Linked DNA regions of Oreochromis niloticus. The protein of the gene in region 2 interacts with the protein of the main gene of each other region in a pairwise test. Links are inferred from orthologs where the notes say so. Each region holds a gene or a part of one and is shown on either strand. Other genes may lie near its edges. The genes, in order: bccip, cdkn1a, tex11 and flad1.

Evidence for each region.
Region 1: the proteins of cdkn1a (region 2) and bccip interact in a two-hybrid assay, tested with the Homo sapiens proteins (2 studies listed by BioGRID, with this or other methods). The link is inferred for Oreochromis niloticus from reciprocal best matches to the Homo sapiens genes CDKN1A and BCCIP.
Region 3: the proteins of cdkn1a (region 2) and tex11 interact in binary tests that used the Homo sapiens proteins (3 or more experiments, as listed by UniProt). The link is inferred for Oreochromis niloticus from reciprocal best matches to the Homo sapiens genes CDKN1A and TEX11.
Region 4: the proteins of cdkn1a (region 2) and flad1 interact in a two-hybrid assay, tested with the Homo sapiens proteins (2 studies listed by BioGRID and IntAct). The link is inferred for Oreochromis niloticus from reciprocal best matches to the Homo sapiens genes CDKN1A and FLAD1.

The regions. Positions count from the first base shown.
Region 1 is NC_031973.2:11,324,682-11,332,622, forward strand, and holds the start of bccip (protein BCCIP homolog), read right to left. Parts: upstream 3,452-7,941; 5' UTR 3,321-3,451; coding exon 3,180-3,320; intron 2,897-3,179; coding exon 2,822-2,896; intron 2,735-2,821; coding exon 2,654-2,734; intron 1,839-2,653; coding exon 1,749-1,838; intron 1,639-1,748; coding exon 1,451-1,638; intron 851-1,450; coding exon 682-850; intron 470-681; coding exon 299-469; 3' UTR 1-298. Other genes in the region: uros (uroporphyrinogen-III synthase), read left to right, coding at 4,188-4,250, 4,337-4,420, 4,509-4,605, 4,741-4,815, 5,682-5,756, 5,863-5,946, 6,077-6,162, 6,241-6,339 and 1 more. UniProt on the Homo sapiens protein: During interphase, required for microtubule organizing and anchoring activities. During mitosis, required for the organization and stabilization of the spindle pole.
Region 2 is NC_031970.2:21,861,257-21,868,985, forward strand, and holds cdkn1a (cyclin-dependent kinase inhibitor 1), read right to left. Parts: upstream 3,025-7,729; 5' UTR 2,883-3,024; coding exon 2,880-2,882; intron 2,545-2,879; coding exon 2,094-2,544; intron 2,009-2,093; coding exon 1,953-2,008; 3' UTR 838-1,952; downstream 1-837. UniProt on the Homo sapiens protein: Plays an important role in controlling cell cycle progression and DNA damage-induced G2 arrest. Involved in p53/TP53 mediated inhibition of cellular proliferation in response to DNA damage.
Region 3 is NC_031966.2:20,005,364-20,013,134, forward strand, and holds the start of tex11 (testis-expressed protein 11), read right to left. Parts: upstream 3,344-7,771; 5' UTR 3,084-3,343; coding exon 3,056-3,083; intron 2,859-3,055; exon of another isoform or gene 2,716-2,858; intron 1,927-2,715; coding exon 1,814-1,926; intron 1,511-1,813; coding exon 1,426-1,510; intron 944-1,425; coding exon 864-943; intron 781-863; coding exon 700-780; intron 592-699; coding exon 472-591; intron 245-471; coding exon 164-244; intron 41-163; coding exon 1-40. UniProt on the Homo sapiens protein: Regulator of crossing-over during meiosis. Involved in initiation and/or maintenance of chromosome synapsis and formation of crossovers.
Region 4 is NC_031976.2:20,868,005-20,875,840, reverse strand, and holds the start of flad1 (FAD synthase), read right to left. Parts: upstream 3,481-7,836; coding exon 3,301-3,480; intron 2,736-3,300; coding exon 2,358-2,735; intron 1,666-2,357; coding exon 1,552-1,665; intron 1,247-1,551; coding exon 979-1,246; intron 626-978; coding exon 478-625; intron 95-477; coding exon 1-94. UniProt on the Homo sapiens protein: Catalyzes the adenylation of flavin mononucleotide (FMN) to form flavin adenine dinucleotide (FAD) coenzyme.

The DNA.
Region 1 (7,941 bases), on a different chromosome or scaffold from region 2:
AAATGTGCAGCTGAATGTTAAAAACCAAGGATTTTGAAGTGTTCCTAACACCTCTGATATGCAGTTGCATGAAGTTTCTTCCAGTATTCAAGTATGTGATTATTCCCTATGTCTTTACAATTTGTACAAACTGTCTTTAAAATTTCTAAAACTGGGTAAACCATCGCCCTACATGTTCTAAATATGAATACGTGCATTCCTAAAACAAACTGTACAAAAATTGAAGAATATATTGAATGATTTTCAGAAGCCTGAAAGCTGTCACTGTGTCCATAGGTGTCTTGGTTTATTGTGAAGGTCACACTGATAGATATTCTTTGAGTTTCTCCATGATGGCTGGCATTCTGTCTGTGGGTATCAGCATCACAGTCCTGAAAGGCTTCATGGGCACGTCCGTAAATGACCACCTCCCACTTAAACAGGAGTCTGCCTCTTCTTGGACTGTGTAGTGGAACTTCAAGATGGCTTGCTGTAAGGAAAACACGGACCAGGCTTGAAATCAGAGTATAAATATATTGAATAGCTTATCAGATGGCTGTTTAAATGAATATTTATCTGAAGTTTGACATGAGCTAACGAACTGCTGTATTTTTACCCAGATACTGTTAAGTAAGTAGCCCCGTGTATAATAAATATTTAGTTAAAACCTTGAACTTTGTGCAGATTTCTTTCCGACTTTACCTCATAAAAGAATTCCTCCTCTGCATTAACAAACATGTATTCCTCTTTGGGAGCTCCTCCTGTGGCTGGGATGCTCTTGGTCTCTTCTCTACAGGTCTTGCTGATAATCAGGCAGTAGTGGCACCTCCCACTGGGCTTATTTGTCCTCTGAGCGTCAGCGATTTCTTCCCTAAAGGACCGTAACATGAAAATCTTTTAACCACACACATGGATGTTTTTCTAGTTTCTATTAAAAAAATAAATAAAACAGAATGGAATAGTTTCCAAATCTCACCAACAATTTTTATTAATAGAACACAAAACATCAAATGTTTCATAAAATATTAGCTCATTTTGAATTTGATGACAGCAGCATGTATTAAAAAGTTGGGATAAGAGCAACAGAAAGGTGGAAAAGTAAGTGGTATTAAAAAGAAAAAGCTGGAATAATTTGTAGCCAATTAGGTTAACTGGTAAATATCAGTTCCCAGATGTTCAACACTTGTTAAGAGGGGATCCTACACTATTGTAAACATGGCCCTGTCCCAACATTTTTAAGATGTGTTGCTGCTAATATATTTCATGCAATACTAAAAGGTCTCAGTTTAAATATTTGATATCTTTCATACATTCTACTGTGAATAAAATGCTGATTTATAAGATTTGCAAAGTATTGCACTTGTTCCGTCTTATTTCAGTGTTTTCAAACACCATCCTGACCATGTTCTACCTGCTCTCACAACAATAACAAAACACTAAAGATGGAATAAGAAGGTAAAGCAGAACTTACTGGAGCTGTTTGTGCAGTGGAAGGGCAATCTGTGGAGGCACATTGATGAAGCGCTCACTTAGCAGCAGCCCCACAGGCTTGCTGTTATCATTAAAGATCTTCTCCAGCTGTTCTGTCACAATATGAGAAGCATTCTTCTCACACTGATCCACAATCAGCTCCTTCACCTCCTCCACACATTGTACACCCTATGAACAGTACAAGACGTGAGTATGAAAATTTATATTAAAAAAAACAAAACACTGACATATTCCAGCCCATTCAAGACTAATTAGTTTTAGTTTGCTAGTCATCTGACCTTTCTCTCTGTGAGGTTTAGCATGGTGATGAAGCCAAACACTTCATCTGGGTCGTCGTCATCGTCGCTGTCTTCGGGCGCCTCAGCTTGCTGGAGCATAGTGGAGAGACGAGTAAATAAACAGCTGCTCAGAAATGAATGTGAATGAGCATGAATGTCAATCTTGGGTTTTAAATGATTTTTTTTGTCCGTTCCTTTTCCTGGTGGAATGATTGCACAACATACATCTTTTAAAAAAGAAAACACTTGGGTGCACACATTTGAATTTATTCCAGCCTAATGTTGCCATCCACTTTGTACAATGTAGCAATGCTGTTAGCAGCAAAGCAGCTCCAGAGCATCATGCTACCACCACCATGTTTGAAAGTATAGTGTTCTTAGGTTCAAAGGATTCTCTGTGGACAGTGAATTATTGCTGGTGTTCCAGCAGTTTCCAGTTCACAGCTTGAACTTTGGTGGTTTCTGAGTTGTTCCTGAACATCCAAACCAACTCTCAAAACAACTCATCTGAGGGTGACAGTTTAGGTCTTTGTCCAGATCTTGGCAAAGTTGTCCCACATTCGAATAACTGCTGAGTATTGCTGTTAAAGATAAACTACCAGTTGTAGTAAATAATGATTACAAATAAGATAAATAGGCCTTGGCCTCATCAAGTCAAGACACTGTATAACCTTCAGCACCACTAATCAAAATATTTAAATAAATGTATGTATATATTTGAGCCTTTTGGTTCCTCGTGTTTGCTTTTGATCCCATTTGGATTAATAAAACGCCAAAAGAAATTCAAACATGTACTCCCAAATGCTGTTTTTTAAGTCATTAAGATGTGTGCAGTATGCATTGTTTGCATTAAGATGAAGTTCAAAGAAATCACTGAAAGCCCAAATTATCATGACATCTCTCACCTTGATGACACTTCCAACATGATTTTGTTGGATGATGATGTGTGTCATCTCTGATGTATCCACATGAGCTTTTAAGAAAAGCTGTATCCAAACATAACAGAAATGACGTCAGTGACACCTGCTTACACACAGTATTTGAAACGTGAAATAACAATACTAAACCCAAACCTGCTGCAGCAGCTTCTTTATGCCGTTGAAGTCATTGTCTGAGATGGTGTGAGCTTCAAAGTCTACAACGACCTCCTGAAAGCGTAGAAGTCGTAATTGCAAGTTTTATTGTAACCCATACTCTGATTAGTTGTGCGAAACTTTCCGATATTAGTTTCACAGGGTTAACTTATTACAGCGTATTCAAGTACAGTATCTTCGAAATAACATATTCTAGTATATTAGTTATTTATTTTCTCACATGATTAACCAAAAAAATATTTTCATGAGCCTTTCTGTTCACATTAGCCCTACTGCTGACTTAGCTAACTAGTTAGCAAGGCCATGCCTCCCTTCTAAGACGTGTTTGTTCTTTTACCTCATTAATTTCCTCATCTGACGCCTCACTGTCCTCTTCTCCGGAATCGTCTTCCTCCTCTGGATTCTCATCGGAGCTGTTGTCACTTTCCTCGGGTTTTTCACCAAAACCTACTGCCCTTTTCTTAGCCAATGAAGCCATGCTGCAAACTTAAAACACACGTGTCTACTAAGTGGGCGGGGCAAAGACTAGCAACTGTCAGCTACGAAACTGAAACCCTGAAGCCGCCATTATGGCTCCACATATACACGGCTTGCCGCTTATTAAATCCACATTCAGAGCTTCAATGTCGGCTTGTTGCCCGTTGGTGAAATGGAATAAACCATTCTATAAAACGGGGACGAAAATAAATTCACATGCCCCCGAACCCTTTGTCACATGTAGTAGATATTAATTTAAATTATTGAAACTATATTTTTAAATTAAATAAACACATTCTTGTAATACTACTTGTAATACGATTATTTTACAAGGTTAGTCAATTAGACAGTGTTCTGTCTCCCCTCCTCGACCGTGGATGATGAAAGTCTGAATGAACACTCCAGGTACATAAATTTTGCCTAATATTTCGTCTTTTTCACCGTTTGTACTTCGTGTCACTGTAGCTATACGCGGATAAAATATTCGCTTCTATCACACATTATCACAGACAGGTTCTGTTAATTGCTACCGTAGATAGTCTGTCATGCACCGTGTCTTGCTAGGGTAAACAAGAACACTCTTACGGAAGAAGACACTTCACATACACTTTTAACTAAAATGGCCCATTCGCTTAATTTATTCGCTGTTCATGCACAGTCTTATGATCGTGACTCAACAACAGTCTTATCAGCATGTGACCGTTTTAGGGTGTAACGTTGCTTAAAATGCATTCACACCCAATGTCCTCAGTGTTTTTGTAGCTTAAGCCTCTGACTTTGACATTATTGCAGACCTTAGTAAACCTATTTTACCTTGGTTTGTTCGGAATTAACCATCTTTGTTATTTTAATAATCCAGTGTTTCAAGATGCGTGTATTGCTGCTTAAAGAACCAAAAGATGGAGAGTCTGGATCTGATCCCTATATTAAGGTACACGCCCTTTACAGTTAAATCAACTAACTTAAACCAGTTTCTTAAAATTTGTCAGTATAACCGTTATTATTTTCACTTCGAAGGAGCTGGAATCACGCGGACATAAAGGAACCCTACTTCCGGTGCTGTCTTTTAAGTTTGTATCATTAAACACTTTGTCAGATAAGGTAAATTGTTGTTCCATTGTCCATTCATTAATCCGTTCATTTTAACAGTTTGCATATTCAGTGGATTCATGTATTTTGCTTATTCCAGCTTTTCCAACCAGAGAAATATGGTGGGCTCATATTTACCAGTCCAAGAGCAGTGGAGGCTGTAAGGATGTGTTTGGAAGCGGATGAAAGAAGGGAAGGTGATAAACATTACTTTTCTCGAAGCTGCTGTATATCATTGATAGAAATGACTTTTTTTGGTAAAAACCTTAAAAAAACAAGTCAAGTTTCTGTAGTACATTTCTGTAATGCCCAGTGTATGTTGTGCTATTGAGAATGGGACAAAGCAGCGAAAGACAAGTGGAACACCAAGTCCATCTATGTGGTTGGGAAGGCCACTGCTTCATTAGGTGAGTCACATCTATGGACAAAGGTAATTTCTCCCAAAATCCTCCTTTGTGTCTTGAGCTCCTTGTAAACTCGTGCTAATTGCACCAGAGTGTGTCGGGCACCTGGTGCTCATAGTGATGTGTGAAATGCTTTGTCTACCTTCAGCCATTTGTTATACACAAGTGACAGTTTGCCGTTAGTGATTGTTCAGTGTCTTTACAAAACAAGCAGGTGCAACACTTTCTACATGTGTGCTTTAGCTTCTTCTTTTCAGTAACATTTCACAGTGGGTTTTTATTTTGAGTCTCTCAGTGAGCTTCTAATTTAGTTATTGAATTAGTTGAAGTGAATGAATGTGTTTTCTCTGCCACGCTCTTATGTCAGTATTTAGCAGACTGTGCAAAAGTATTGAGCCACCCTCATTTCTTTGTATTTTACTTCCAAGGACCCAGACGTCCTTGTAATTTTTCAAAGTGCTCTTGAGTTACTCCTCCAGGCTTTCAGAAGGTCTTTCAAATTTGTCTTCTGACATTTGCTGGTTTTTCCACTTATTTTCAATCCAGGCTTTGTACTGTGCCATTTTCAGAGGAATGCGGTTTGGTTGTTAAGCCACTTAACACTGGCCTATGAATGCATCAAGTATAAAAAAAAAAAATGCACCCAAGTCAAGGAATGAACAATTGTTGTGTCTACACATAGCAGACAACTTAGAAAAGACTAGAACGTAATGTCTTTTGTTTAGTGTTTTCTGCTTTTAAAAACCTTGCTGCACCTATTTCCCATTTTCTAGCAAAATATAAAGAAATGTGGGGTGGCTCAAGAATTTACCACATTACTGTATAGCTTATCATTTTTTTTTCCTTTTCATGATTTTTATCCCATACAGTACAGAATCTAGGTCTGAACCCTTTGGGAGAGGACACCGGGACAGCGGAGGTCCTATCACGACTTATTATTGAACGTACGGCGTAACTGTGGAGTCTCACATTCCTCACAGTTTAATTTTAATAGTAATTTTATGATTGCTCTTATTACTCATATGATCTCACGTATAATTCCCGTCATAGGAGAGGCCACCAATATCCCACCACTTTTTTTCCCCTGTGGCTCAATCAAAAGGGAAGTCTTGCCCACGGCTTTAAGGGAAAATGGTAAGCATTCCCCCTGTTGTGCCTGACAATTAAAACTCAAGGTGATAAAATTCCCATTGGGATTATTCTAATTATAAAATAATAATTGCACTATCTTTATCACTGTTGGGATCTGTTTCTTTGTTTCCAGGAGTGCCCCTAGAGACACTAACTGTCTATCAAACAGCAGAACATCCCGATCTGGAGAAAAATCTAAAGAACTATTTCACAGAGCAGGTAAAGTGTCATTCTTATTGCTTTTATTTATTTATTTGTTTCAGTATAGCAGCTGTTCATTTGTTTGTATGCTTATAGGGCATCCCAGCAAGCATAGCTTTCTTCAGTCCATCAGGAGTGAAGTTTTGCCTTGAAGTGGTGCGGAGGCTCTCGGCTGAACAGCTGACTCAAATAAAGGTACATCTTCCTCACAGTCATACACAAATAGATTTAAATAATGCATGAATCTGAAGTGCTTAACAGAGCTTTACTCACGTAAGTGTCTTTGTTTCCAGTTTGCAGCCATAGGGCCTACTACACAACATGCAATAGCAGCAGAAGGCCTTTGTGTCAGCTGCACTGCAGAAAAGCCAACAGCTGAACACCTGGCGATAGCGATAGCTAAAACTCTGCAGTGACCAGCTTTTAAAATCCACCTGCCTCATCTTTGGTGTTTGTTGTTATTATATATGTAAATACGTACTGTTATTTGTGTGTTTTACTGCTTTACTGCCCATCTTTATTGTTGTTGGACATATGATTCTGCTATTTTTGCACTGAGAAAAAGTTATTTTTTGCAGCACCAGAGCCAGGAAAGTCTAAGATAAAATTATAATTTGCTTTATATGATGTAAGAAAATGACTGAGAAAATAAAAGCCAATCATTTTGATAATATTGAAGATTTTGTCTGTGGTTATTGCTTGTGTGTTTCTGTGTGTTTATTTCCTGTCCAACACAGTGCTTGCAGGGGTCATCCCTGTCTTTTACTGTCCACATGAATGTGAAGGTTTTAACATCTTTCCACGGATCAGCTGCAGTCCATTTAAAACCACTGAAGCATGTATAACATAACCACAGAGTAAGAGTCAAATTGAGCAGTCGTAGATTGTAAAAGATGAGTTTACTTTTCACGCAGAGGTGAAGAAAGCAGGTTACTGTAGAGTCACACCTCTGGAGGGGTGTGGAGAAGCTAAGGATTTGCTTATAAAGCAGCGTTGCTCCTCACTTGTCATCATCTCATCTTGCATATAGACCCAGGAGTAAACCGCTAAAGGCCACGATGCTGAATTTAATCCAGCTGATATTTATGCTCTTTTTGACCAACATTAGCACAACTGATGCAGAGAAACTTTTCCATAATCGGGATCATTCTGATACGCAGACCCTTAATTCTCACCGAGCTCAGGCTATAACAGACAAGTACACAGCTGAGGTATATTGTTTTTTCTTCTTTTTTGACTACCTGTGTTTCTCAAACTTCAGCATCCATTTAACCAGACAGGGGATTTGTCTAATGTAACCCGTGTCTTGTTTTAGTTATTTCTCTCTAGATATGGATTCATCAAGCCAGTTAACTGGGAGGAGGTTCAGTTTGAGGATTCAGATGCCTCTTTCAGCGGTGACTTCCTCGACGATCTTCAAGCCACAATCCAAGAGGGAACCTCAGCGTCTTACTCGAGAGCTGCTCATCGAGCTGGTGATCAGCAGGGCTATAACCGTCAAAATGAGAACCAAGCCTTTATTTCAGCACTTAAAGAGTTTCAGAGGGTTTCAGGTCTGCCTGTTACAGGGGTGTTTGATGAGGCCACCAAGTTAGCAATGAACAAACCAAGGTGTGGAGTCCCTGATAAAGAGACTGTTCTGACCAGCCCTGTCATCACTACAGAACCTGAGAGCAGTGGTGACTTTGATTTTGAAAACAGTACCACTGACAGTTTTACTGAGACCAACAGGAACAACACAGCAAGTGACATAATCAGTGGCACTTCTTTAGGTACTGCAAATTTCTCTGAAGACGA
Region 2 (7,729 bases):
CCAGTGACGTCAGCTAAGAACAGGAAACTGAAGCCACAATTTGCACGGGCTAAACATTAGATGTTTGGATAAACGTTGTCTGGTTTCAGGACTCTCGATATTTGCTGCAGCCTTCAGATGGTAGGGTCAGAATGCTTCACAAACAGCACAAAAACATTGATGCATCCTGCCTTGTGTCAGCACTTCAGGCTGCTGGGGATGGTGTAATGGTGTGGGGGATATTTTCTTGCACACTTTGGGCCCCTTAGCGCCACAGTGGCCTCCACAGTCACCAGATCCCAGTCCAGTAGAGCACCTTTGGGATGTGGTGGAACATCTGGATATGCAGCTGACAAATCTGCACCAACTGTGTGATGCTTTCATGTCAACATGGACCAAAACCTCTGAGGTTTGTTTCCAGCACCCTGTTCAATCTGTGCAAAAAGAGTTAAGGCACTTCTGAAGACAAAAAGAGATCCAACCTGGTGCTAGCGAGGTGTACCTAATAAAGTGGCTAGTGATTGTATAATGGCGTTAATGGAGAAATTGTACTGTGATACAACACTGCAAGGGTTCAGCCAAACTAAGTAATAGTTTTACCGTTGCTACTTAAAAGTAAAGTGACGACACATTAAAGACACAAGGCGGTTCATTTGACCATTTTATTGGATTTCATAATAATTAAACAAAACCTAAATTAACACATGACATCGTATCTCACAATAAATAAGTACAGAGATTTTCACTTGCAGCCTTGAACAAAACACAATACAGAGGAAAGCATCTACAAACAGAAGTGCAATCATTGTTTGGGGTCATTCGCTTATTTTCTCGGCTTCGGAGCATTTCAAAGCTCTCTGTTGGTGAGGGTTAGCGTCACAGCGACGTCGCTCGACACCCATTCATATTACCCATAGCAGCAGAATTTGCTAATGTAGACATAAATAAGTGCCAAGAGGGGGAAAAAAAGAACAAATTAAGGCAAAAAAACCAAAAACAAAACACATCATTAGTTAGATTGCACGGTGAATAGAAAATAATAAATGTGTCATTTTAGCTTACTAAATAATACATTTGCTTTTGATGAAGGAGCTTTAAATACCAAAAACAAATGCCAGTAAAGGCACTTGATACTGGGTGTTTATGTGCAACACTGCAGTTTAAATGATTATGCTACCTGACAATACCATATTTAACTTTATAGATATACCTCTTATACATATATAACTAAATAAAAGTGTTTTAGTGTTCCTAGCCAACATTATCAGTATCAGAGTCTGGATCGGGCTGTCAAAGGACATCAAAAATCAGCTGATGTAAAGTAGATGGAAAAGGATGGAAGAGGACATGATGGCACTTCTGTCTTTTATAATCTAAGCAAAGCAACTGCATGTTTGAGATGTCAGAACTCTTCAAGCATCTTCCTTTGATTAAATGGTTGTCGATAAAAGCACTGTGTACAGCTGGACATAAAAAGTATGACATACTTTAGACAGTAAAAAAAAGAAGATGACTGGTAAGCCCTTGTGATACACATGTAGAAAAAATGCTGTAGAAAAACAATCATGGATTTGAACTATGGAGCCAAAGAGCTTTGTCTTCTCACCTTAAAAACATGATCAGACTGGATGATTTTAATGGACACATCTCCAGCGGATGTGACTGTCCTTTCAGTGCGGCTGAATGTGCAGTCGGGCAACACTTTGGCATCCCCCCCCCCAAATGAGTGTAAATCCACTGATTCCAGAGATTACTGTTAATCTTCTCTGCTCAAATGTCGCATTCTTGCCACTGAGGGAAAAAAACACCAATCTCCTCAGAGTGACTGCAGTACCCTAATTAACTGTTTTGTATTGACGTGTGGTTGAGGTCCCTCCTGGGTGCACGGCCAGAGTCTGTGCGGGACGTGTGATTCCTGAGCGTGGCCCTGTCTGGGTGGTTCTCTTGGAATATTGGCGTTTCTCCACCGAATATCACTCGCCGGATTTGCGGGGCATCCACACTACTCTTCTTTTAGCCTGGTAGAAATCTGTTGGGATAAAGTGCAGGAATTTTAAGCTCGTGCACTCTCACGTGAAATGACGAGACTTCTCGCTTTCAGCTGGAACACGTACCTGTGATGTTCGTCTGCTTCCTCTTCAGCCCGGTGTTCTCGCCCTTCTCCGGTGTTTTCTCCAGCATCTCCCGGCCGTGCATGCAGTTCTCCGGCATACCGGGGATGTTCTCCTTCTCGCTCTGTGCCGTCTCCACCCTTCCTCTCTTGGGAGTAACTGTCTCTGCTGACCTGTGGCCTTCAGCCTGTCCGAGACCCTGCATACAGGACCTGTAGAGCAGAGGCACCCTAGTGCTCGGGACACCCTCCCATTGGAAATCGCTGCTCTCCAGAGGCTTGTCCAAGCTAAAGTCAAAGCCCCACCGCTTTGAAGCCTCCTCCAGGTCGTTACGCATGGCGGCCTGGTACTCCACCTGTAGCTGCTCTCGGTCCACAGGCCCAAACAGGTTTCTCCGGGCTGGTCTTTTTCTCAGTACCCCCAAGATTCGCTTGTGAGAAGCCATCACTCTACACTGATGAAAACAGAGAGAAGATCTCTGGTTACAGTAACACTGATTGGCATTTTGCTTTAAAAAGTAGCAACAATAATAAACCAGACATGGCATATTTGAAAGTTAATTTTGTCTCCATTAATTAAGCATCTCCAGCGATTAGACGAATCCTCCCGGACACTCAGTGCTGATGAAATGTTGCACAAGTAAAACATGCAGTGACTTCTCTGGAGGAGAGGAACCTCAGCTCCAGTCTTATTCTAAACCAAGCAAAATGAGCTCTGTAATCCATTACAAGTGCATCCATCTCAGTTACTTGATACTGCCTCGAGTATGAAAGTAAAAATCTGTCTTACCATCTTTCAAACCAGCGTAAAGCTCCTCAGTGAACTAACACACTGGTCTCGCTGGGCAGCTTTTTATACTAAGGCAGTGACTCACTGAGCGCTCCTCCCTCTCTCTGAATCACTGGTACATGCCAGGGCATAATCTCAACCAGACATGTAAGGACAAGTCCTAAGTAGCGACCGAGAGCGCAAACACCGAGAATCACCACCAGGTGGCAGTATCAGGCCCCCTGCAGAGTAAAAATCCGAGGCGGTGACTTATGAATCCTATTTCCACATCTGCTGATCTGGACGGGACTTACATACAAACAGCAAACACTTTACTGCGAAGGCTACAGGAAGGAATCAGGTGTGTCTCAGGTGGATGTCATTAAGGCCATCCGGGAAGGACTGGGCAGAATTCCCAGGATTTTCTTTTCAGGGAACAATCATGAGAAGCGGTTCCCATCATGATTATCCAGCTGAGAACAGCAGGAGGGGGAGAGGTCACTCTGATTTGAGTTTTTATAGAAATGATGAAAATAATGACGATGAAGAGAAATCCAGATAAGGCAGAGAAGCAAATCCATCAACACAACCTGGTAACTGTTCACTGGCACCTTAAGTCCAGTTTTTTCAACAAAGCTTTACAATAAACACAGTCCTTAAAATGACTTGGCTGGAAATCTTGTTAAAACATGGCCTGTTACATCATCCCACAAATGTGGCGACTGTCCAAGGTTTGCAGTTCATTCATTCTAAGCTCAACGAAATCTTGGAGACAAAACAACAACAGCAAAACTTTAACACACATTGCCCAAAGATCAGGCTCATATATAGTTTTTCATCTGATAGGAATGCGCTTGTGTCTTTGTGCCCAGTAGTTTATTACTGATGTGAAGGGCCAGGCTATTGCTCCTGGTTTCACTGATGTCCCCGCTCAGCTTTGGCTTTCAGATGGAATAACGAGAGAAAAACTGAAAGGTCTCTTGATAATATTACATAAATTAAGTAATGCAAAGTGACAGATTGATTGAAATATCAATAGGATGGATACCAAAGTTGGTATTGGTACTGCATCGATACTACGGGCGATAAAAATGTCTGAACCTTTTTTGTGTATTTTATTTATAACCTATGGCACATTTAAATAACAGAAGCTGACTCAAACTGCTTTAGATATATATCCCAGTTCTCAAAAAACAAACAAACACACACAATTTAAGAACACATAAAAAGCTGAAAGTTAAAATGTGTTCAGAATTTGCACACATTTAAACAGATGACGATTCACCTTACAAATCAAGACACACTGTTCTCCCCTTTATAGGTTTAAAGTATTGGTATCGGTGATAGTGGATCAATACAAGATAGCACAGCACTAATGGCTGGATAAATCCAAATCCTGCACTTTACTACTACATTACTACTATATTAACCTCACCTGCTGAAAAATGCCACTGAGGCAGGGTGGATCCTACAGAGTGGCACAGACTGTTTCCCCTTCCCACCCACTGTTACATAACTGTGGACCTGCAAGCACAAAGGTCAGGGAGGGGTGGGTGGGGGTCCTTACACTGGGAAGAACTGGGGAGCCCAAAATAAATCCAATTCATCCAGAATGAAGTAAAACATCAGAAACACTGAAACACTTTGGGAGAGGGTGGACACACAGCTTGTAGCCACTATCCTCCTCACACCCTCCCATTTCCATCCACTCAGTCACGCGTATGACGCGGCGTGAGAGGAGAGGGCGGAGTGATTCAAGCGAGTGGCGGGAGAACGAGTCATGCACGGGCGGCGCTGGAACCGGCTCGGACCCTGCCCAGTTTACTACACAGGTCCACGTGAGGCTGCAGCTCGTGCTGGCCGGCCAAACTGCGCTGTCACTGTCTGGAGCCCTTACCACCACCACCACCACCTCTGCACACCAACGAACCACAACCACACACACCTAAAAACAACCGTGCGGGAAGCTTTGGTAAAGTTTTGAGTTGATACACTGAAACCAGCTAAAAGACATAAACCCAACAACAGCACGGGGACGGAGGTAGTCATGGAAACGTGTAATTTATGGGATTAAACGAACAAATATATAAATAAATAATGAAAATTAAAAAAAGATAAAGCATATAGGTAGGACTGAAACTAAAAGTAGCTCCTATAACATTACAGGTTGTTTAGCCATATAATGTAAACAGCGATGTTTTTTTAGACTTGTATACACTAACAGGCCAATCACAAGTGAAACCACCAAAGCGCAAAAATTCAAACTTTTAGTTTTACTTACATTTTAATTCAAAGACAAAAAATCTTCCTTTTTTCAAACTTGCTGGGGGAAAACTGACTGTTATCCACCTTCTCTCGCTGTTTTTCTGATTTCCAGTCTTCACAGCAGCTCTGATGTAAATAAACGGACGAGGCTGATGCTATGTAACCCAACAGATTCACAGGAAAATACTTCTCCGTGACACTTTCTCCTAAGATTTCTTACAGACACGGACTCCTGCTAAACTTTTATGAGCTCCGGTGGACGGGTACCCTCCTTTCCATTCCAGAGGCGGAGACTCGGGGGACTCGCACACGTGGATTTGGCCCGGTAAACACATGAGCACACGTGAAGCTTGGCTCGGGTCGAAGACGAGAGGAAATTCCAGCTCAGGAGGACACAGCCCAGCTCAGCCTCCCCTCCCCGTCTCTCCCTGCTTCTCAGTGCGCATGACAGAGCGCTTCGGCGTTTGTACTTGTCCCGTTTCCAGGATACATCACAATGACACATCTCGTTTGCTTCCTCCCATTTCTAAAACAGCTCACGCGACGTTTCGGTTTCTGTTGGCATCACAGAGCAGAGAGCAGCGAAGGAGAAAGTAGAAGTAAAAGTGGAGAAACTCGTAAACAGTAAATGGAACTACACTGGGTAATTTCACTCATGCGCTCTTTGTACCTGTATCCAATTTAAATATATCCTTCCTGTGGTAGCCCCCCCCTCCCCAAAAAACTCACTATATGTATCGACCACTTCTATATATGACAGCATTCACCGGCCTCTTCATTAGGTACACATGTTCAACAGCCTGTTAACGTCAATATCTAATATGCCAATCATATGGCGGCAACTTTAGATGTGTAGACACGGTGAAGATTACCTGGTAACGTTTAAAGTAAGCATAAGAACGGGGAAGAAAAGTGATTTAAGGGAATTTGGTGCCAGATGGGCTGGTCTGTGCATTTCAGAAAGTGCTGCTGTGCTGGGATTTTCCCACACAAACATCTCCAGGGTTTGCAATATTGTCCAGAAAAGAGAAAATACCCAGCAAGCAGCAGTTCTCTGGGTGAAAATGCCTTGTTGATGTCAGAGGAGGATGGACAGACTGCTTCGAGCTGATAGGAAGGCAACATAAACTCACATAACCACACGTTATACTCAAGTTATTCAACTCAGTTCAGTTAAAATTGTTTCTTTACACGGTGTCAAATAACAACAACAATCACCTCAAGGCACTTTACATTGTAAGGTAAAACCCCTACAGTAATATGAGAAAACCCCATCAGTTAGAGGACACCCCCACCCCCTCATGAGCAAGTGCTTCTGGGAAGGAAAAACTCCCCTTTAACAGGAAGAAACCTCTGACAGAAGCAGGCTGAGGGAGGGACAACCATCTGCTGTAACCGGTTGAAGGTGAGGGGAGGAAGAGCACCAGAAGGCCACACAGGGTACCACTCTTGTCAGCCAAAAGGAGGAAACATAGGCTTAAATTGGTATGGAGTCATAAAAACTGGACACTAAAAAACTGGTCTGATGAGTCTCGATTCCTGCTGCCACATTCAGGTTGTATGTTCAGGATTTTTTGTAAGCAACATGAAAGAATGGATAGATCCACGCTCCAGCTTTGTATCAACACTTCAGGCTGCTGTCGATGGTGTAATAATGTGGAGGGATATATTCTTCACACACTTTAGGTCCCTTAGTTCCAACTGAGCATCACTTAAACACCACATCCTACCTGAGTATTGCTGCTGACCAATGCACCATGTCACAAAGCTCAAATCATCTCAAACTAGTTTCTTGAACAACTGTACTCCAATGTGTCCACAGTCACCAGATCTCAGCCCAATAGAGCACCATTGGATGTGGTGAAACGGGACATTTGCATAATGGATTTGCAAATCTACCCATGTATCTGGTTTTGTTTTCTATATGGACCAAAATCAGTCAGCTTATTGGAAATTTAAGGCAACTAATGTAACTAAAGAAGTGGCCCATGAGTGCAACTTACTTTGACATAATAAACTAAAAAGAATAACAGAATTATTTTATAAAATATCTTCAAGTTTTACAGAATAAACCCAATCTTATACTAGCAGCAGTGACAAGACAGTAATAAACTATACATACACTGTAAAATATAACTTGTTGTTTCAACTTAAAAATATGAGGTAAAGGGCTGCCTTAAAATTTTAAGTTAAGTCAAGAAATAGAGTTTGTTCTTATAACACAACCAATTGTTATCTTAATGAAAAATCACATGTTGTCTAAACTTTCATCTTAGTTTAGTTGACTGAGATTTATTAGTCAGTTCAACTCCTTTAATTGTCATCTTTACTTGGGAAAACCCTTTCAGCTAAATTAAAATAATCTATTGTTTAAACTCTTGTCCTAGTTCAGTTGACTTGGGTTTTTTAGTTAATTCAAATACTTTAGTAGTTCTTTTAACTTAGGAATCTATTTTAGCTTAACTAACATAATCTGTTAGCTAAGTTGATTTAAGTTTATTAATTAACTGAGCTCCTTAAGGTAGCTGAGTGAACTTGTAAATCAGTTTCATTTTAATTATCAGAGTTGATTGACTGGATGTAAAGAAAAATGTGTATTAAACATC
Region 3 (7,771 bases), on a different chromosome or scaffold from region 2:
CTATTCCAAAGTTGTAGCACATTAGGGAGAGGTATGCAGTCTGTATTGAGAAAGTATAATCACAGTTAACATCCCCCACACATCCCATAACAATATGTAGTGTAAAAGTGAAAAATCAATATATAGTGTTGTTATAATAGCAACAGATGGCCTTTTTTCTTACATCCTTTGGTAGTCGCAGCAACATGTCTTTACAAAGCTGAATGTAGGCCACAGCCTCTTTGTTATTGCCTTGAGTTATGGCCTGTAAAGGAGAACAGATCTGAACTTATAATTAAATGTCAGCAAACAATATAATACTCCCTATTAGCTGTCAGAAATTTACCCCTCTCATTGTTTCTCAGTTCACATTTTAGCTGTCTCACACTTCACACTGCAAGTCTGTCAGAATGGCACTTCCTAAGCTGCCAAATATCACAAGAACAAATATTCACATCGAAGGTGTCGAACATCACATGCGCCACAGCTCACCGATTCTGCTTGGTATGAGAGAATTCGAAGTAGATCCTTCTCCACATCCTCCTTGGATGAACTGATGTCAGCTGTGCCATTGCCTCTGGACATCAGTTGGCTATAGAGGATTTCAAGGCTCTGGGGATATTAGATTTTGAGTCATTTCTAAAAACATGGTATTTGTCTTTGCTTCAAACCTACACAGAATTAAGAGACTATCAGTATGAGTGTTATTTTCTTCTTCACCTTGACAGCAAGGCTTAAGTATTTATCTGCCATCTGGGGATTTTTGCAGTCCAGCCAGGTTCTCCCTGTTTTGCTGGCCATCTGTAAAGATTAGACACTGACAAACATGCCTTGTCCTCCAGAAACATTGGGCACTCACAGAGGCTGCCTTCAGTACTGCTTACCAGAATCTGCTTGCGAATGGTGCCCTCTGTTGGGTTCTCAGGCTCACAGCAGTACAACAGACTGCATGCAACATGACGCACTGTAAGCATAGTAAGATTATTTGAATGTGAGGAGAGAAGATCCCAAAATACTGCCACTGCAGTAAAGCATAGAAAAATGCACAGTGGAACACTATCAGTCTTGGACTGGCCTGCTCAGAGTCCAGACCTCAATATTATTAAAGTCAAAATGAGATCAAAGTGGGATCATCTTGACAGAGAACTGAAAAAAGGCAGCCAACTTCCAAAGAAGAGCTTTGAATCTCCTTCAAGAAGCCTGGAGAACTATTCCTTAAGACTACTTAAAGAAATTACAAGAAACCTTTAAAATTTACGATGGGTTGAACAATAAAGGTGCTCATACCAAATATTAACTTTGAAACTTGTTAGAATAGTACAGACTGTTTTTGTCTTATATATTTCCATGCACATTTGCATGTTTAAATGCATTTCTGTATCTATTTCGTATTTTCCTAGCAAAATACAAAAAATGAGGGGTGGAACAATACAAATACAAATTTACCTTGGGCTTTTTGAATTGTACTTATTGTGACACCCACATTCTTAGTAACTCCCCAGTTCCACAGCTTGATGGCACACTCCTCCAGCTGTAAACAAGACAACAAAAAAATAAAATTATGCCAGCTTCTTGCATATGAGTATTAACAATATTACATTAAATTGCAGTCTTTAAACTTCATGGAACCGTTGCAGCAGTCATATAACTTGTAGTAGGTCAGATTAATTCAGCTCTATTAAACAAGAATATTAGCGGTGTAAAAAATTTCTTCCATAACTATTTTGTTAATTCTCCATTTTATTTTATTTTTTGTTTTTATTGTTATACTATAACTTTACATCACTACTGACTTGTGGCGTATAGTTAAACAAGCTGACATGTTTTTGTCTACCTGCGGATCTGGTATTTTGGGCATAGCCTCAAGTCCAGGGACTTCAGAGAAGAGCTTCTCTATCACTTCATCATAATCTGTTAGCTGCTTTTGCAGCAGGAGCTCAGTGAGACCTGTGTATTAAAAAAAAGTCAACAAAGACAGACGTTGACAGGATACAAACAGGGTAACAGAGGACACGTTGTCTTCTGAAGTGGAAAGTGACATCTGATTTTTCATGCAATAAGAATATCCGAATTTTCTACACTATAAAGAAAACCAGATACTGTTTGTGCAAGACAATAATGTGTGTGACATGGAGAGCACCCCACTTTCTTATTCTTTTGTATAAGTTAAAAATCTGTCTCAAAATCCAGTTTGACTACATTGATGTCCTTTCTCATTTCAAAAATAATTCAGATATTCTCTTGTGTCTTAATGTTAGGCTATTAGCACTGAAATATTAAGCCATTTATTAATGATTGTTCATCTAGGTAGAATATAATCTAAAATGAAATATGAGTCATACATCCCAAATCAGGTTAATTAGTTGCAATTTTTTTTTAAAAAAGTATTCATTTACATATTAGCTTCAAGTTAGGGGGCTAGCTTGTTATAATAATGTAAAATATAACAATAATTCACTGTGGCTGGTGACCAAGATAACATGAGCAATTTAGTGGATAACATGAACCCCAATTTTATGCCTCTAATCATTTGCATTATCAGGCATTTCACAGGCTGGACAAAATTTATAAAAAGTCTATAACACAGCAGTTTCTTTAAAAATTCTAAGACCCTGTTTGAAATACACATAAGGTCTTCAAGTACCCTTTTTACCCATTGAATAAAGAGAATTTACTCTCCATTAAAAACTGCTTTAAAAGTTTCAAATTGTTACCCAGGTGTAGATTTGTACATACAAATGTAGATGGCAGCCTGCTGGCTAACTTTTTCTTGCTGCAGTCACAACAGCAGTAAGTTTTAATAATACAGCTTTTGGGATTTTCAGACTTTGCCTGTTTAGTTCCCTTTGTCTTTTAGAAAAATAACTATTACTTCCATGGCTTGAGTAACATTTAGCTAATATACCAGAGGCACAAAACTGTTATTAGCTATTGTGCATCCAGATAATAGACGCAACCTAACAGTTAGTGAATTAGCTAGGTTGGAAGCTAAATTAACAACTAAGCTACAGCTCCAGTTGGTAAAAGCACTTTAATAAATAAATAGGTGGGTCAAGAGAACGAGTCAGTTACTCACTTTTCACAGTTGAGGTAAGTTCCTCCATGTTTAACTTTTTGTGGAATAAAAATATCAGTCAGGCTAGGTGCTAGCAGCTAGCGCCTCACTGAAATGTTGGCATTTGATTGACGGCTATCAAAAATGCCCGCGAAAAAGAGAGCGAGGATATCAAAACAACAGCAATATAAAAGAGCTATTACTCCAATAGAGGGAATTATTCTGCCTACCTTAAACTGTTCCTAATACTAGCTTGATAATAATTGCAGGTGTGACAAAAATCAAATACCATTAAACAAAGGGGTAAAGTACGGAAGCGTAGAGCTGCCACCCAGGCAAAAGAAAAAAAGAAGTATATCACGTTATAGCGTGAAAAGTTTATTGTTCTAACAAGATACTTTTCATGTTTGTACAATATACTATCATGTTTGTACAATATACTTTTGACGTTTGAACAATATAATATCACGTTATTACAATATGCATAAATATCACGTTCGTACAATATATTTATATTGTTCGTACAATATATTTATATTGTACGAACGTGATATTTATATTGTACGAACGTGATATTTATATTGTACGAACGTGATAATTATGCATATTGTAATAACGTGATATTATATTGTTCAAACGTCAAAAGTATATTGTACAAACATGATAGTATATTGTACAAACATGAAAAGTATCTTGTTAGAACAATAAACTTTTCACGTTATAACGTGATATACTTCTATTTTTCTTTTGCCTGGGTGGCAGCTCTACGCTTCCGTAGTAAAGAGAGTTTCTGTTGGTTACTGTTTTATCCCCATCTTCTATAGAAAGTTATTTGCTAGAGAATTAGAAGGGGCAAGGTCCTACAAGACCCACAGTTCATCTCAAAACTTGCAATGGGGAGATTGGGACTACCTTCTTTTAGAGATTATTGTTTTGTAGTAGTGTAGCCCATCATAAAATACACATGGAAAAACACTAAAAAGAAAATACCTCCCATTCCCATACAGCCAATTGTATCATATAACAATTTACAAGGTTATATAAATATTAGGTGAAATTGACTCTTAAGGTACATAAAAGTGTTATAAAAGAACATAAACTAGAGCAAGACATTTATATTATCAAATCCTTGAGTTGTGATTTTATTGTGTGCATATGATTCTGATTTCTATACAATATAATAAAAGAAGGAAAACTGCACCGTTTTGAAATGTTTAAAGTGAGTGGAAGTCACTATTTAATAGGACTGTTTAGAAAAGCATATAACTCAGAGGTTGGTAATAGGAATTTGAAAAGATCTTGTATTAAACACATAGCCCTGTGCAAAAGAAAGCAACCCCCTCCAGCAGCTAAATATCTTCTACGAAAAGTTAGTTAGCATAAAAGTTAGCATATTTTGGGTACATACTTACAGAATGGATGAGGAAGTACTTATGGGAGATCCCCAAGGTTGTAGGCTGGAAAAAACAATGGGCATTTATAAAATGGATATGATAACAGCATTTCTTAAGTATAAATGAGAACAATTTGTTTCATACTGAGAACATTTTGTCAACTATGTAGCACTCTATAGACCTGATTTTTTTATTTTATTTAAATTTTTTGCAAATTTGTAATTAATTTGTATTGATTACTAGAACGCTCCCTGCTTGTTGAAAATTATTTGTCTTTTTTCCCCTTATCTACCTTGGTCTATGTATGTGTTGTGTAGTGTTTTATGTATATGGCTTATGTTTATGTAGTGTTTCAATTTAAAAATAATTAAAACAGAAATAAGAAACAGCAAGGGCTTTTGAGAGAAGGGTCATCTACTGGAGCACAAGATGATCCAGGCTATGCAGGGCTTTAGCTTTCTGGGAACATAAAATAAGGCAGTAAAGTCATATTAAATTTGATTGTTCAGTCATTTTAAGGTCAGCTCAGTGCAAAGCTGAATTGCTAGCAGTGTACAAAACAAAGTAAGACACGTGTTTGCTTACAGATAATGGAGTTCTGTAGAAAACTAAATGTTTTGACAGGGCGTGCTCTAAGTTTTAACTTTGCCAACACTAACTGATATTGATCTCATGTCGGCATCAATAGCTCTTAAATAAAGTCTGTGGTTGATATAATACTCACAGGTTATCTGAGGTTTTCTGACAAAGTATTTTCTCATAACTCTCTTTGGTTCTCCTGCAATATTTACTCAGAGTTCAGCAATCTTTGTTGGCATTGTGGCCATAAAGGGAAAAAAAAGTATAAGCCCTTATTTCTTGGTAAATCTAAGAAGTCTTGTAATGCTGGCTTAGCGCACTTGTTTACATTTATTGCCAAATGACATTTTCCAGTCATCACATGCTTGGAAAGTAGATTGAAATACCTGTACTTATAGTAACTAGTGTGGGAAATTAAGGGTTTATTATTTGTTGTAGATATAGACATCAGGATGACACAGAAAAAGAGAGCTCGCCAGGCAACAAATAAAAAGTAGTGAATTGGTATTTGGACTGTAAGTTGTAATGTTACCACAAAAGCACATCCATCTTTTTTATCAGTAATTCTAAATGCCTGAACAGAGACCTGTTCTGTTTTTCAGTGTACAGGTGTCTCTCCTTGTGGTTGTTAATACAGGTATCATAGTGAGAATATCATCGGTATCATAGACGGACACGCGACTGTAATATTATCTTGCCAAATCCTTCTGATATTATGGTTAGAAAACAATTTATCTTATGTGTAAAACCAAAAATCTAGTTGTAAGTCAAAGTACATAAAACTTTCTGGTTTCTTTCTGGCAACAGGTATCAGGAAAAGAGAGGGAATCAGAGCTAAGCAGAAAGAGGAGGTCGAGTAAGGCTTTTTCAATTTTCAAATTGGAATATGATTCTGTTTCAAATCACACAAAAAATTAATAATAGGATTAAAAAGACTCCCATATTTACTGCCATTTACAGGTGTAAAGAACAAAGTGCCTCTCTGACAGGTTCATCATTTTCCCAAATAAAACTTCCACCCTTATTGATACCTTTTTGATACTCAAAGGTACTAAGGTAGGCAAAAGCACTATGACATTATGAAAGTCTGACATCTCACTTAGATATTTTACGCTCTTCATTGAAGTAAATGTTTTCTCTCTAAAAGCTGAAATATTCCCATTTTTATGTGTATGCACGCAATTCAAATCAAAGAAAAGATGAAGGCCTAAGTTTCCATATGTCTCTGTTAGGGGAGTATATTGTATTTAGCTCAAGAAGTTACTACAGGAATACTAAGAAATCACAACATGACTGTAAAACCATCTGCAAAATATTGCATAGGACCGCTCTTATGCTGCCAGAACACTTCTGACCCATTGGAGTGTGAACAAGGGAATTGTGGGGGCGTCCTGTAGTGGCTGGCAATGGGAAATTGGATCCTGTGTGTTGCAGGGTGGGGTCTGTGTGGATCAGGGTTATTACAGCTTATCCCAGGGATGCTTGATTATGAGCTGGAGAGTTTGAAGGCCAGGTGAACATATTTAGTTGCTGGAGGGGGTTGCTTTCTTTTCCACTGGGCTATGTGTTTAATGCAAGATTGTTTAGGTGTGCAAAGGTTGTTAAGTATGAAACAAGAGGACAACAAGGAAGATTCATGCATGCACTGAAGAAGGATATGCATAAGAGCATGGTAGGGATAGGGTGAGATTAAGGGAGATTATCAGCTGTGGTGACTTCTTAAGGGAGCAGAAAACAGAGGAATAATAATACTTTCTGTTAAAAGGTGATGCTTAGTTTCTACAGTTATCTAACTAACTTGCCTTACTAATTCCAAATAGCGTGGATCAGTCACTAGAAATTCATGCCGTAAACATTTGATAACCCAAGTTTCTAAAGATATGTCAGGATTTATTCTAGATGTCTTGATAAAATAATGCAAAAGACATCTAGGACAAAGGCACCCATAGAGCCCAACTCCACCCAACAACATGATCTTAAACTTGATTTGATTTGTCCTTGTTATATGTAAAACTTCACTCTCACATTGAGTTGACCAGACATTCAGCAACTATTTCTCCATCTCTTTGTTTTTCCATTCGTGATCTGTAGCCTGGGTGACTCAACAGCAATATGAGGTCATTTGACTCAACACCACCTTAGACATGGGTCTGGAGAATATCTAGACAGTTTGATTTTTGAGCTTTGATTTCTTGCTTTCTTACAAGCACTGATTTCTTTTTGCCTGTCTAAATTTCTGGACTAGAGACTTCTAACACAATAACTGACATATTACCGAGAAAACCTCTGCCAAAGCTTCAACTATGTTGCTTTGATTCTTGAGTAAATCTCCTTTTGAGAACTCAGGGGCTGAGGAAAGCAACTTTTTAAACCAGCAGCATGGAATACATTTGCACAAAAGGTGCTTCTCTCATCTTGGAAGGGCAAATGTTAAGAATAAAGAAAATAGTGTTCATTTGGTGTGTGAATTCAACAAAACCGCTTAATCTGTTGTATCAATATATTTATTAAACCATTTTTGTTTCCTATTAAGAGAAACAAATATTGCTATAGATGTAGACTTTCCCAGTAATGTCCTTTTTGCTATTTTACAATAGGCTCACCTTCTCTTAAGTGCCGCTTTTCCCAATCAACACTAGATGGAGCTAAAAGACATCGGTGAGACAAATGCATTGATCCTAATACAGTAACACAGTTTCCAAAATGCTCTGACTTCTGCAAACTTCTGTCCAGGACTTAAAAATTACAAATTTATAGAACTGAA
Region 4 (7,836 bases), on a different chromosome or scaffold from region 2:
TGTTGTATCCTGTAGAAATCTCTCCATTTCTGGGAATGGAGAGACAATACGAATATACAGGACTTTCACCTTTTCTTTAGTATCTGGATATCGGCTGAGAGTGACAGGAAGAGAAAAAAGGGACATTTTTTAAAAAGATAAGCAACGCTGGCACAGAAAGAGATCAGATAAGTATTTGTTCTTCTTATCGTCATATCTCTCAATCTGTCCACCACAGGTCAAGAAAAGTCCAAAAAAAGTACTCAGTCTTCTCCAAGATTTTCTCTAAGTGCTGCCCTCCAACTAGTTTTCTTTTTCCATTTACTTCCTGCTGAGATCTCACACCCCACTGTGCTCTAATGCTATCATTATGTTTTTAATTTGAATCTTCATTTTCATCTTTCATCTCTCAGGTCATTTGTTTTTTTTCCCCCACAGATTAAAAAAATCCACAAAAATGTTTTAATTGTCTCATCTCGTCTTCTCCCCTCCTGTTACCGTTTCAGTGCAGCATAGTAGAGATGGAGCAGCGCTGTGCAGTCTTTGCCCCCGTTAAAGCCAACACAGATTTGCTCTGTTGAATACTGATGGAGTGCCGCCTCTATTGTTTTCAGTGCAGACATGACTTTCTCACCCAGCTCTGTACCTGTGGGAAGGAATCAACAGTAAGAGGATGGTTCATAGTTAATGCAGTCAAGCTGTGAGGCATCTTAGAAATGAGCCCACATTTCTACGTCTGATCCAAAGAAAAGAAAAAAAGCTGCGAGTAGTTTGTCATAGCTTAGTTGTTGAAGCTTTATTCTAATCTATTCACCATTCTGTCTCACAGTTATATTCTTCTTTTTTATTATCCACTCTGACTTTACGACTTAAATTACTTTCATATTTTAGCTTTCTTTATTGGTCCCAATGCCTGTGTAAAATGCACAAGTCAGTATTCACTTTATATCAAGATGACACATATTAAGAATCATCTTCCATTACTCTCCGCACACTCACCACTGTTGGCCAATCCGTACACCTCAGCGGGGGCTACGGACACCGGGTCTGTGACTAAGGGCACCACGCTCCCCTTGGGCAGCTTGTCTAGCAGCTGTATTCGGGCTTTGTCCACCTCCTGCTGGCTGTCTGCGTCCAGGACCAGCCTAACTCTGTGATAGTTGCTCAACCAGTCAGGGTAGGAGCCAAGAGCCACCTTTCGGCCCCAGCCAGCCTGCAGTTTGGTCAGCACAGGTGCAATGTCTGTTTCATCTGCATCAACAAACACCTGGACAAACACCAGATATCTGGTAAACTTAATTATACTATTTAAACACTGCATTCAAATCAACATTATTGTACTTAACTAAAAGTAAACTAAAAGGTAAAATACATTAAAAGTATCAAGGAAATATCAGAAATATAGAGGAAGTGTCATTACTTTAGTTAGTTTAACTAAAACTAGCTAAACTGTATTATAAACAAAAAGTAAAAAATAAATAAATACATAAAAATTAATTAGAAAAAAAACAGAAGTATACTAATTCTGACTTGGACTGGATTTGGAAGTAACAGGTTTGGTTATGGAGTTACCTCGCGAGTGTGAAAGGTGGTCCCTGAACCAGCAAAGAGATGCTCCAGCCCATTGAAGGCCTTCTCCATTAAAGATGGGATCCCGGGAAAGATGTACACATTACGTACACTGACCTGGGAGAAAAAGGTAGACACATCAAATTGTGAGAAAAGATGTGGGGCGGTACTCGAGCCATCATTGTTGAAACTATTGAGATATGATGCAGGAATAACATCACATCTCTGCAACCCAGAGACAGCTAACAATTGAGGGCAGATTTACAGTTTTGTAAATGTCAGATATTTATTTTTGCTAAGGTAAACGGCTGCTGGCTGGGGTTTCATTAGCAAACAAGCATGAGAATGGTATCCAACTCCTTCTCCACCTTTTGCCGAGACAGGGCACTTTCTTTAAGGGCTGTTCCTTCATTGTTTCATTTTAAATTCTGGATAGGATAATAATATACTGTACATTAATGTCTCTCAACTTGAAAGACAATAATAAAGCACCAAAGACATTAACCATCCTCTGTACTATATTGGTCCTTAAAGAGAAAAATGTCTAAATTTAATGACCTGTGAGTAAGAGGTGTGAATGCTTTTCATGCCTGGTGTCTGTGTGTGCTCAGAGTATTTATTGTTTTGACCACTGCAAGAAGCTATTTTCACTCCTTCAGCAACTAGTTAGTTTGCAATCTGTCTTGTAAAGAAAACACCCTCACTTTTTTTTTTTACCTTAAAGAAAGGTTGAACAGCGCCATGTAGCTTGGATATATTTGAAGTAATTTTGTGTTCTATAAAAATTCCTCTGTACCGAGTTCACTCACCAGAGGGTAGCGGTGCTTTTGTCCAGTCTGAGGGTCAGTTCCATAGTTAAGTTTGGCTGAGCGAGGCACCATCGCAAGCTTTATAGCAGCACTGTTTTTCTCCCCAACCCCGAAGAATTCTTCAACTAGCTGGCTGAGCTCTGGATTGGCATATAACTCCTCGTGGAATGCTATGGCAACACTCTCAAAGGTGACGTCATCGTGAGTGGGACCTATACCCCCCGATGTGAGGAGGTGCGTATACTGAGATGAAAGGAGGGCCACCTCTTTGGCAATGACCTCCTGCACATCCGGTATGACTGTTATGCGCTGCACAGACACTCCGAGTTTCCTAAGCGCTTTAGTTAGAAAGGCGCTGTTGGTATCCACTGTGTGACCCTGAAAGAGACACCCACATGTACATCAGATTCAAGAACTTAAAAAAAAAAAAGAAAGAAAGAAAGAAAGAAAGAAAGAAAGAAAGAAAGAAAAAAAGAAAGAAAGAAAAGAAAAAGGAAACTCCAAGGTCTTGCTTGATGAAATTCAAGGACTGCAGACCGATTTTCAGGCAGAGAGATGTGACATTGGACAGAAATCAAAGACTTCATGTTTAAATCATGATCATGTCAAGTCAAAAAAATAATAGTAAGCTTGTCATTTTAGAAACAGCCACAGCTCTCACATGAAGTAACCATCGCAGTTTTTTCCCCCCTGAGGTCATAAAATGCACATCAGAGACTGAATAGAGGTCCAGACACATAGGGATGCAGATGACAGTATATGTTAAACACTGCACAATGCAAGCTCCTACTTCTATCACAAAAAAACAAACAAAAAAACCCAATAACAGTTTATATTGATTTTTATCAATTGCACAAACTCCCAGTGATTTTCATTGGGTGCTGTCATACACATATAGCTTAAAAGCCACACAAGGCACAAGCTTTATCAACACCAAAAGCACCTTAAGAATCTCATCTCCAATGATGAGAATGGCTGCAGTAGGAGCATCCCCGTTGGCTGCAGAAGACGAACTGTTGCTCTGGAGGTTTGTTGACATGGTTGCCTTGCTGAGATGAGCTGCCAGTCTCCTCACACGCACCACTGCTCTACTCAGCTTAGGAAAAGAAAAGCTGGGAACCATGGAAACCAATTAATTGAGCACTTCTTACTACAGATTTATACTAGATTTATCAACACTCAGCAAAGTCAAAAAACCTATCGAGTCAACAAGACCTCTTTAGCACAGCATGTAAGCATATGCAATATGGAATGCATTGTGCAGTGTGCTCAACTGTTAATATGCAGATGGGTCACAAATTAAAGGAAAAGCCAGCATGTCTTACAAACAGTGATTTCTGTAATACCACAACAGAGGAAACAAATGTAGCCCATATCAAGGTCAGGTATTCAAGATCTTCCTGCAATTTGTCACTTATTTGTGCATTTTAATGTAGCATCTGAATTATTTTGCTGCATTTACAGTGACTAGAAATGTTTCTTACATCAGCATGAATCCACACAGAGCATCAGAAAAGGCTTCGCTGTTGTTCAGACCCTCTTCTCTGTCATAGTGTGTCTCCTAGCAGGAGGTATCTCTGGAAGAGGAAGGGTGAACTGTTAACATGTGAATAATTTGTGTATTTCTCCTGCATTTCCTTAAAATTTACTTTTTTTTAAAATCAGCTATTTATTTTTATAGGTCTTTTGATAAGGCTTTAAGTTGGAATTAAGTGGTTGAACTTGAAATAAGAAAAGAGTTGTATTTAAAACATTACACTTGATTAAAAGTCACTGATTGCTGATGAAAGAGTTTTATTTCTATTTAAATGTGTGTATTAACTGTTTTCCAATTGTATATAACTAAATTGCAGTAGTCCTATGTGCATCATTAACAATAAGATGGTGACGATTTGCTTTTTAATATTTTGTGCGTCTTTTAAGGTAGATATCATTTGATGCTGATGAAAAACACATTTTCCATCCAGTGTTTGAAACACTAGCAAAATGCTGACAAAATAGAACTCTGTGATAACAACGCAAAAACATCTATATGACATGGATTTGTTAAAAAGAGAAAAAAATGGTACTTAAATCCACTGTTAAGGGATAAACAGATCCGAAGCGTGAATTTAATGATACTTCTATTTGTCTTGTATGTTAAGCTTCACACTGTGCATTTGGTTTGGAGAGCAGCCTGGGAGTCACAGTTGCAGGAGGATAAAGCAAACAGTCATTTCTGGTATTTGCCAAAAATTGATTAGGGGTAAACTGTTGTAGATGACTTACTGGCCTATGATCTGTCAAACATGTCTCATGGACGATATCAAGTCAAAGTGACAAAGTAGAAGCTGAAATCAGTTTTTTGCAAAGTGACTTTTTTTTATCCAGGTAAAAAGTGTTTTTGGTTTTTTTAATAGTTTTTCAAGAGAGATCTGGAAAAGAGTGCAGAGATTGGAATAATTCATTTTAACCCCTTCGTAAATCCCGTTGACTACAGTCCATTAACCAACACAAGCAAACATATTAGACATAAAAAACGTAGAAACACTGGTATTCGCTTTTTGGCACAACTGCCTTGCACCTGCTTACACAGTTTGCATTGCGTAACATTTGTAAGTTATCTAACGGGACGAAATAAAAGTAAACTCAGACATATTCATTTATGGCCATACCAAATAATTAACTGAAACAAATGGCAAATATCACAAGTGTGTGAACGTGTGTAACACCTGAATGTAAATTCTTAGCTAACTCTAAGTCTCCTCGCTAGGTTACTTGTGGCAACAATAAAGAAGTACGATTTAAGTAGATGTGCATATTCCATTTTGTCTCTACTGTCGATATCTCTCGACGAATATGTTTAATGTGAGGAAAAGTCCGGGTGTTACATTTATTATTTGATAACCAACCTCATTAAAACCGAGGGAACTTACCCCTCAGCTGTAAATGTCCGTGCAAAGCTCCCTATCACCGGTAGCTACAGCTGCAGCTCGAGCTGTCGCTCAAGGTATGACGTGACCTTCAAACCACACTACGGTAGCCAATCATATTTCGGGAGGCGGGTCTTAACGGCCAGCACGTCATGTACACTAAAGTCATTTAAAGATGTGGCGGAATCAGCACAGTTAGTGAGGAGTAATAAATGTCGCTTATCTACTTTAAAAACAAGTATCAGCCAAACCATTAGTAACATAACTTTGCTGCTGCACCACCACCCGGAAGAGGACGGAGAATCACTTCTTCCTTTGCCCGATTCAAAAGAGATTACTGTTACTCGTGCGCCCCTGCTGAGTGGAGGAGTGAACTCCACGAAACCTAAATGCTGTTATTAAACTCATAATTACTTTCTTCGCCTGTGGGTGGAGCATGTTGGCATATATTTAACAGTTTTGTCTGCCTGTGGATGAAATATTAAACCGAAGTGGAGATGAATTGCTTCTCGCGCAGAGCATTTTACTGCCTTCAAACACATTGGCGGTTTAAGATATACTCTGTCCGTCTGAATTAATTAAAAATTAATAAATTTAAGCACTGATCATTCATCTGAACTCCTTGTACCTTTATGTCCGCTTAACCAGAGCGCGTATAACGATTCATTTATGTATTTTTTTTTCTATCAGATCATATGACCTACAAAATGATAAAGTATTCTATTGTTTTATTATTGTTCCAGTTATTATTATCTGTCCACTTTGCTGCTGTAATAATGCCCATTTCCCAGATGTAGGAGTAATAACAGCTATTTTATCTTATCTTACTCAGCAGAATGGGATTGCAGATCAAGTCCTTATCAACGTGAAAAATAAAAATGCTTTGTGTGATACAATTATATGATGGGCTATCATACAATTATATAAAAACTAGAAATGATTACGTGAATGGGCAATTCTGAGATGCAAGCACAACTGTATTCGTTTTGTTTCCTGGGGGAATGCATTTGAGTAAAATAAGGGCAAACTTGCTTCACAGGTACATTTTTACATGCTTCATTGGGAAAAAAAGAAAAAAAAGCGCACGTGTCAGTGCACCAACGCATGAACCGATCCACTGAATCAGCATGTACTAAAACTGTAGAATTCAGCCACTCCTTTGCCTTCGTACGTGATAATATGTGTATTATGCATACAATCTGTGCTAAAGATCTAGTTCTTGGGCTTTAGCGTCTTGCTCAATGTCATGTTTACTTGTTGGTGGTATGAGGATGCTGCGGCCTTAAGAAAGTTATCTCATCACCAAACTGCTTTACAAAAGAAAAGAAAAGAAAATCATATTCAAATGTATGGACATCACGACGAAATGTGTGTTTTAAAACATATGTAGTGCATATGTAGTCATGTCTGCGCATCCCACACTTTGCGGTAATAACACCTTAAAGCAGGCGGCAGCAGCTTATGCCCTGAGCTGATGCTGATGGTTTGTTTTGGTAGCGGATGCGGGTCATCGCGGTCTCTTTCTAAATGCTGGAAAAAGCAACACTTCAGGCAGAAAACAGCTGTTCTTGCGCTGTATTTATCTACGGTAAAGTACATGTGCAACTGCAGACTTATGGCTCGCGGTCAGGGATTTCTACTTTTGCGCAACCTACACTGACTAGTCCAGGTGCAATTTGGTACGCGAGCGCGTACGCACACACACACTCACACGGGAGTGGGGGAAAAGAAGAGAAAGAAAGAGAGAGCGAGAGAGAGAGAGAGAGAGAGAGAGAGAGGAGCCGGATGACGCTGCGTGGTTCGCGGAAGTGACTTCTGTCGTGATCGTGGAGGGGGAGGTAGGGGGAGGAGGCAGGGACGGAAAGGGAGAGGAAAGAAGAAGTTTAGAGTCTTCTTTTATGAAGTTAATCATCAAGTATACAAGGATCCCGGCGGACAAAACTGTCGACCCTTTGCCCTGTTATATGAAATTAAGCTGAAATTTGTGCAGCAGCAGCAGCAACAGAGCTTGGTGGGCAGGAGGGGCATTCAAGGGAAAGGGAGGAACAGAGCTGGTAAGTTGCTCGTTAAAGTTGCCCACACTTTTTTGGGGGGGCATGGTGTGGTCTGTGCGTGCCGTGCGTCAGCTATAGCACGTATGAAAAGTGTGAGGAAACTGATTATGTGCTAAATTTGTGGTCCCCGCAGGGACACATAGTTCTGCCGGACAATTCAATGTTTCGTTGTTATGTTACGCCACGGTGCAGTCGAGCCTGTTAGGTTACTGTAAGAAATATGTAAATGGTCAGGCTGGGGTGTGCACGAGTTAACTAAATGTTTAACTTCGTGCTTTCAAACTTTGTGTGTGTGTGTGTGTGTGTGTGCGTGTGTGTGTGTGTTGCCAGGTTTTATTATTAAAACTTGAAACCTAAGTAAGCTGTTGTTGGAGCCTCTCTTAAAGTAATAGCATAAGTTTACAATAGAAAGTCATCGTTGTGTCCTCTGGACGAACAAAAACAACAGAAAGCAGGTCACTCACATGCCCTTTCTTTTTTTTAACAGGCGCCAATAAACTCAAACTAAGTTAG